Xenopus tropicalis: one gene and its partner. The protein of the gene in region 1 purifies or fractionates together with the protein of each later gene. This does not show direct contact. Links are inferred from orthologs where the notes say so. Each region holds a gene or a part of one and is shown in the gene's direction. Other genes may lie near its edges. The genes, in order: clstn1 and apba2.

What was found.
Region 2: the proteins of clstn1 (region 1) and apba2 purify together in Homo sapiens (affinity purification with western blotting; 3 studies listed by BioGRID and IntAct, with this or other methods). This does not show direct contact. The link is inferred for Xenopus tropicalis from reciprocal best matches to the Homo sapiens genes CLSTN1 and APBA2.

The regions. Positions count from the first base shown.
Region 1 is NC_030683.2:55,939,235-55,943,066, forward strand, and holds part of clstn1 (calsyntenin-1), read left to right. Parts: intron 1-1,179; coding exon 1,180-1,428; intron 1,429-3,151; coding exon 3,152-3,270; intron 3,271-3,832. UniProt on the Homo sapiens protein: Postsynaptic adhesion molecule that binds to presynaptic neurexins to mediate both excitatory and inhibitory synapse formation.
Region 2 is NC_030679.2:97,171,388-97,175,219, forward strand, and holds part of apba2 (amyloid-beta A4 precursor protein-binding family A member 2), read left to right. Parts: intron 1-2,993; 5' UTR 2,994-3,031; coding exon 3,032-3,832. UniProt on the Homo sapiens protein: Putative function in synaptic vesicle exocytosis by binding to STXBP1, an essential component of the synaptic vesicle exocytotic machinery. May modulate processing of the amyloid-beta precursor protein (APP) and hence formation of APP-beta.

The DNA.
Region 1 (3,832 bases):
CTACCTCCTTGTGTGGGCAGGGCAAAAACTACCTATAGGTTTGTAGTGGCATGGAAGATATGTGTAAAAAAACATACACAGAAGACTTATTGTATAGGGAAGAAAAATCTTAATATTCAAAGCTTTTAGCTCACGCTGCTTTTAGCCCGATTTAAAGAAAATAATATTTGTTTGCTAAATGCAAAGATCCTTATATAAAGGTACTTAATAGTAAACATCTGCTATGTCTCAGCAGATATTCAGCACAACCTCAGGGACAACACCTGAGGACAAACTCTAAAGGTGGCAATACATGGGCTGATTTCAGCTGCTGATTCGGGTCCTTCAGACCGATTTGGCAGCTTATGTGCTCCTGTATGGGCACCCACCCCCCCGGCCTACCCGACTGATATCTGGCACAAAATCGGGCAGATCTCAATCAGGCAGGTTTGAATTTCCCGCGAGATCTGGAACCACATTGGCTTATTGATGCGGTCCTCTGTCCGACAGCTTATATACCCACAGTTATTAGATAGTTTGGCCCCAGGGTCAAATTATCAAATTATTCCAATATCCCCCACCTTAGGTGGGCATATTGGGAGAAGATCGGGAAAAGATCTGGCCTTTTGGGGACCTTGCCAAACCAGCGGATTGTACCGTATATGGGCCACGTTTACTGTTGAATATATGGGAGACTGTAAAGAACATTTGCACATGTTAATATTGGTCCATTCCCAAACTTTCTTTAATAAACCCTCACAATTGAATATAAGGGAGATTGTACAAAAAACATTTGCACATACTATTATTGGTCCATTCCTACCACCCTAATAAAATAATTAGCACGGGGTGTTTGTTATAAATGTCTTTAAAAATGTATATGCTGTACAGAGCACAATCATACAGCATTACATAAAACAAGTTGCTGTTTATTGTAAGACATGGCGTGGGGGGGGGCGGATGAATCAAGGGGGGGGGGCGGGGTAGTGACTCGGGAAAATAAAAGGGATAGTTGCCATGTGAGGATGGGGGAGTGAGAGGAGTGCTTGGCACAGGCATAAGAGGGCAAGAGATTGTCACATTGGGAAAGCATAGTAAGGTAGACAGGCATGTTATGTGCAACTGGCACATAACTGGTAAGAGGGAAATATTACATTTGAAAAGTAATTTGTTTTTTGCATATTCTAATTTTGCTTGCAGGGTCTTCCTCTGATGTAGTAGAACTGCTTCCATCTCCCAGCATGACCACAAACTGGACCTTAGGGCTTCCCACGGATAATGGTCATGAGAGTGACCAGGTATTTGAATTCAATGGCACTCAGGCAGTAAAGATTCCAGATGAATTTGTGACTTTGAACTTTGATGAGCCCTTTGTGATTTCTGTTTGGATGCGACATGGAACTGGTGGCAAAGAGAAGGAATCAGTGTTGTGCTTTTCTGGCAAAACAGGTATTTTGGGTTATACAGTAGATGCATCATTGGTGGGGGAAAAAAAATCATATTTCTTCTCTACATTTGCATTTATACTTGAGTTCTTTTAACATTTTTTTAAACAACTATAAAAAAGCAGTTCATTCTGTTTTTGGCCTCTAGAAACTTACCTCAAGCAAGCTTAATGTTTATACATAGAGGAAAACTAATATGTTCTGAACACAAATTTAACCAACAGATTTCTTATATATTGATTTCCTGGTATTTATATAGTCCTGACACATTTACACAGAGATTTACAGATATTCTACATTATTCACATCAGTACCTGACCCAGTGGAGCTTACAGCCTAAGGTCCTATTACATTCACACAATGGGCAATTTTATGAGGAGCAAATTAACCTGCCAGTATGTGTTTTGAGTGGAGGAAACCAAAGTATTAACATTATTGTTGTTGTTATAATTCTGCAAGGTACTGTAAATCAATGGATGTTGAACATACAGGTTTACATGCAAAGTAACTAATAACCCAGAATAAATCTCATAACACCTGTGTAGTAAAGCAGAAGTACTTTACCCTGAGCTACCATGCTGCCCATGATATTATACATTAAGCCACTGTTTTGTGGTGTTCTTGGTCTTCTTGGACACTGGACATGGAGAAAATGCAGGTTCTGTTGTAGAATGAAGGGGACGAGTAAATAATAGCTCTGTCCATTCAATGCCTGATGTAACCTAATATATAAATGTGCTCTTTGTTTTAGCATATAAAAGCTAAAGTAAAACACAGACATTAGGGCTTAAAATGGTAGTGTTTCCATAAGGGGTACCCAAGCAAAAGTATAGGTTATGGGATCCCTTATCAGGAAACCCATTATCCACACAGCTTAATATTACAAGAAGGCCATCTCCCAAGTCCATTTTAAGCAAATAGTTCTAATCTTTAATAATGATTTTCTTTTGTTTTAAAAAAGGAAAACAGTATCTTGTCCACACTAAGCTGCCTAAATCCATATTGGTGGCAAAACAACTCAGTTTGGTTTAGTTAATCTTAAAATATTTTTTTAACTAATCCTTGGCGGTATTTTTCGATACATTAACTGTATTTTACTGATACCTCTAGCCCTAAAGTATTGTTATTACTACCAAGGTTTGGTGGTGTTTCCCACCACTTTCTTTTTCGTTTCCTCTTAATTATTCTTGGTTCAATCTAGTACTTTGTACTCGATTGTAACTAAGCTAGCATAAATCCAAATTGGTGGCAAATTTTGAATAATATAATTTTTAAATACTCTTTTGTAGATTTATGGTATGACCTAAATTGTGAAAAAAAAACCTTATCCAGAGTATTCTAGCACCCAAACCTTTCCAGATAATAGATCCAGGACTGGATTGGGATTCAAATTGGACCCTAGCATTCCAAGTACCGAGAGGCCCAAACAGCCCCTACCAGGCCAAAAAATAGTGAATGTCTATGGCGTTTTATAGCAGCCTCTCTGGCATTTGCCAGAATCCACAGATTGCCAATCTGGGCCTGAATAGATCCTATGCACGTGTGCACTTGGCATCAGTGTTTGGGAATTTGTAGTTAACAGTGTTCCAAATTATTCTTTGGAGTAGATTTGCATACCAAAAACATATGTACTGATGCTTTGTTATTATTTAGGTGACGTGACCCTATTTTATTAGGTTATATTTTAAAAATGTTTTGTTATTTTATTCTCTTCTTCTTTTCAATAGAAATAAGTCAGCATCACTATTTTCTCTACATACACAACTGCAAGCTAGGTTTTCTCCTTCACCAGGTGGCTTCAGAGGAGATCTATAAACCTGCAGAATTCAATTGGAAACTTAACCAGGTGAGATGGCTGCATTATTTCTTATTAGGAAAAAAAAGTTTTACTTCAAAATAAATAAACTTTTAAAGTAGATTATAATTTACTGGTCAATGTATCATTTTTAAAAAGCCTGTTGCACCTAAACCTGCTGAAACTCATTTTTACATCGGGTACTTATTGCCATCTCCCAAGTGCAATACCTTGTATAACTCCTTTTTGATGGAAAAGGCTCCCACACTCACTTTGCAGCATTTGTTGAGGTTTAAAAATAATAAAATTGGTCAGATAGGAACCCCATTGGACCGTATATACTTCTGAGCTTGCCCCTGTGAAGAGGTCCAAAAGTAACTACAGCACTCCATTTGGAAATATCCTCAGATATTTTGCAGAGACTATGAACCCTACAGGTAGGTTTCCTGTTTGGGTGCCTAGTTTAGCTCTATAAAACTGTACAATAATCCAAGTCAAATTTCTTAGATCATGGTTATCTAAAACAATAACACTATTTTTTGGATATTGGTATTTTTTTGGTTTCTGTAGAATCTGCCATCACAACATCATTTGGCAGGGCATTCCATAGCTT
Region 2 (3,832 bases), on another chromosome or scaffold:
AAATACAAATAAATACAAAGTACAGATACATTAAAGATTCTCCAGAGCTAATGGGCTTAGTTATCAATTTTCGAGTTTGTTTTTCTAAATCAAATAAACTTGCATATTGAATGGTCGCTTATTTATTAATAAGGAAAACTTGTTGGAATGAAAAACTTGAATATCTTTCGAATTTTTCGAGTTTACAAGCTCTAAAAACTCAAAAATGTAAAAAATTTGAGTTTGAGAATATGGCTTGACTTTATCCTGACAACTCTCATTGACTTCTATAGACACTTGCAAGCTTTTACATAGCTAATTTTTAAATTTGAGTTTTCAGGTTTTTTGCACCAAACATTCGAGATTTTGAACTATAACTCGAATTTCAGAAACTCAAATCGAGAAAAAAAATTGAAATCGACCGTTGATAAATCACCCCCAAGAAACAAGAGAATGGGGGTTGATGCCTGTAGGGCTTATAATCTAAATGGGGGGGGGTAAATTACAGACACACATAGGGGGATATTAAGTCATTTAACATTAATTATTTTGCCTCCAATAAAGAGTAATGATATATTAGTTAGGATGAATTACCAAATACTGTTTTAGCATTACAAAGAAAAGGGTAATAATTTAAAAATTTTTTAATTATTTGATTACAATGAAGTCTATGGAAGAAGAATTTCCCGTAATTTGAAGCTTTCTAGATAACAGATCCCATAGCTGTATTCAAATTGTACAAATAGACGGGTTAAACATAGCAATAATTAATATAAATATACCGATATGAAGATTAGGTACCTCAATGCAGTAGTTTTGCAATAAGAATTTGATGTATACTAGCTTACCTATTTATTACAAAGCACTCTTTTTTTTTTTTTTTATTACAGAGAAAAAGTGTCAGTCAAAAAAAGGAAACTGTGTGTTGCGTGAATTAGACACTATAGCTAACATTGCTATATTTTGGAATTTCATAGATCACAAAATATAGATCGACATGTATTTAATGTGACGTCTCACTAGTTATGACAGTTACAACATTATTTATCAATCTGGTGTTAACTCGCTTTCCACCTCCTTTTTTTGTTAGGCATAAAGCTTATGAACCTTTCTGATGTTATTACATCTTATGCTTGGAGGATGATTTATAACAGCCCTTGAAGGGACTGGAGTGATGTGTTTACAGTTGGGCAAGCCTGCCCAGCAGGGGCGATTCTGGACATATCGCCGCCTGAGGCGGCTCCTGGATGCCGCTCCTGGATGCCGCTCCCCAGCGCTTACCTTCTGAGCGCAGGAGCGGGTCCGGGGGCAGTGAGATCGCTAGTGCAGAGAGCGCAATTGCGCTCTCTGCACTAGAAGAGCCGAATTTCCGGTTTAAAAAGGCGCTCCTGGTAACTTTAAGAACCGGAAATTCGGCTCTTAAAGTTACCAGGAGCGCCTTTTTGCCGCCCCTGGTAACTGGGGCGCTTCTGCCGCCTGAGGCGAGTTTCTCAACTCGCCTAATGGCAGAAGCGCCCCTGCTGCCCAGGGTCGGACTGGGCCGCCGGGACACTGGGAAAAATCCCGGTGGGCCCCGGCGGCCCAGACCGGAGCGGGGCCCTTCACCCCCCAGTCCTACCCTGAGCCTGCCCTGTGGTACCAAGGTGTAACAGCCTAGTTACCAGGGTTAAACAGTTGTATTTTGGAATCTGGTGAAAATCTGTTGGTTTTAATAAAGATACAATTTTTTCCTAACTCTGCTCTAGAGAAACAATAAAATAAAAACATTCCATCAATAAACATGTTATATGTTGCAAAATCATTATCAATATATATCACCATTGCACCATTCTTAAAATCTGCAGAGGCTATCTTTGCTGGTGTGGAAATAGACATGTTTTTACTTTTTTTTTACAATTGTGAGGCGTGAAAATATTATACAGACACATTACATTGTGTTCATGCAGTGCAGTGTTCATGCAGTGAAATCATCTTTTAGATATCATTAAAGGATAAGGAAAGGCTAGTAAAGAGTTAATCTCAAACTGCAGGCATACCTTCAGTTGTCTCAATAGTGCCCTTAAGTCTCCCCATATTTCACCTGTTCAGAAGAGCTGAAGCCAAACAGGAAGAAAAAACACTGAGCTGTGTAAACAAAGTTCCCATAATGCCTCACTCCTGCAAAGACACCGAGACCAAACTGAACATGCTCAGTTAGTAAGACTATGAGTCAGCTTCCTGCTGATTGGCTCAGATCCACATTCCTAAGGGGGGGAGTGAGTTCTTAGCATTCTTGAGGGGAGGGGGGAGCAGCAGAGAGGAGAGAGCAGAAAGCTGCGTGTCTCTGGCAGAGGTAAACAGACACAACTAATCTTTTTTCAGAGAAGTCAGTGCAGCATTTCTGTGAGTGCTGTATTTACATAGACCTTTCTGATAAAGCTTACTTAGTATTTACCTTTCTTTTTCCTTTAACATAACTGTATTGATCTATACAGTCCAGCTTATAAAAACTGGATACCTATCTATGCACTCTTTGTAATTATTTATATATTTTGTTATACAGTATAGCTAAGGCCTATAAAGTCAGGGTACAAAGAAACAAGATTGTGCACCACTTCTAGATGCCACTATTTTTTTAATGGTGAAAGTCTGTTTTCTGGTATATCCATTATTTATTATTATAGCCCTGTTAACTTAGCTTTCTATATGAACAATAATTGTTTTACTGAGATTACTAATATAATATACTACTTTTTAAATAGTTTTCAGATTATTTGAATCTCTAATAAAATTTTCAGTTGCTGGTGCTTGCTGCTAGATGCATTACAGTTGCATTATCAATGAGTCAACAGGTTTGCGTACTTACTAACCTTAGTATTTAGTTTATATATAACTTGGCATACATATTACCTGATATTGTAAAAAAAATATTACATTATGCTAGACTAATCCTTACAAATTACAAAATATTTTTATTATGCATTAAAGTATAACTTTCGAATTATAGCTAACTTCATTCTTTTATTTTTCTATAGTATTTGTCAAGAAATGATGGTCATGTAAGTTGCTGAATATGGCAAATCGTAAATGTCAGAGCACAACGGCCAGCATAATGGATCAGAGACCGAGGTCTTGTCCTCCTTCTCCTCATGCCATGGACCCTGGAAGTGAAGAATCTGTTTATGAAGAAGTTATAGTACCAGACTTTAACTCACGGATTTCAAAGAGCAGACACATGTCAAACACCCAAGAAGACCATGACTGCAATGACAACAGTGGTGATGGGGACTCTAGTTCTGATTATGTGAATAATACCTCTGATGAAGAATATGATGAAGGACTTCCTGATGAAGAGGAAGGAATCACCTATTATATACGTTATTGTCCTGAAGATGACAGTTATCTTGAAGGCATGGACTGCAATGGAGAGGAGTATATTCACCATGAAGAACACCATATAGAAACTGATGAATGTGTAGAAGCAGTAGAAGATGAATGGACAGAATCCAAGACACAACAACAGCATTGTATTGATAGAGACACAGAGGAAGAAAATCAGATGATTACATTAGGGCAGGATAGCTCTTTAGAGGAACATAACCAAGTTGAGGAAGCCCATTTTAGTGAAAATGAGGAGGGATACCCGGACTACTACTCCCCAGAGGCCAATGGAAACTCACTTCCTCCATCTCCATTTCCTATAAGGAAAGGTGATGGAAATACAGAAGAACCAGAGGAGGACATTGATCAGATTGTGGCTGAAATAAAAATGAGTATGAGCATGAGCAGCATCAATAGCACAACAGACACAAGTCCAGAGCATAATGTAACAGAAAATGTTGCAAAAGATATTAAGGAAATATGTCAAAAAGTG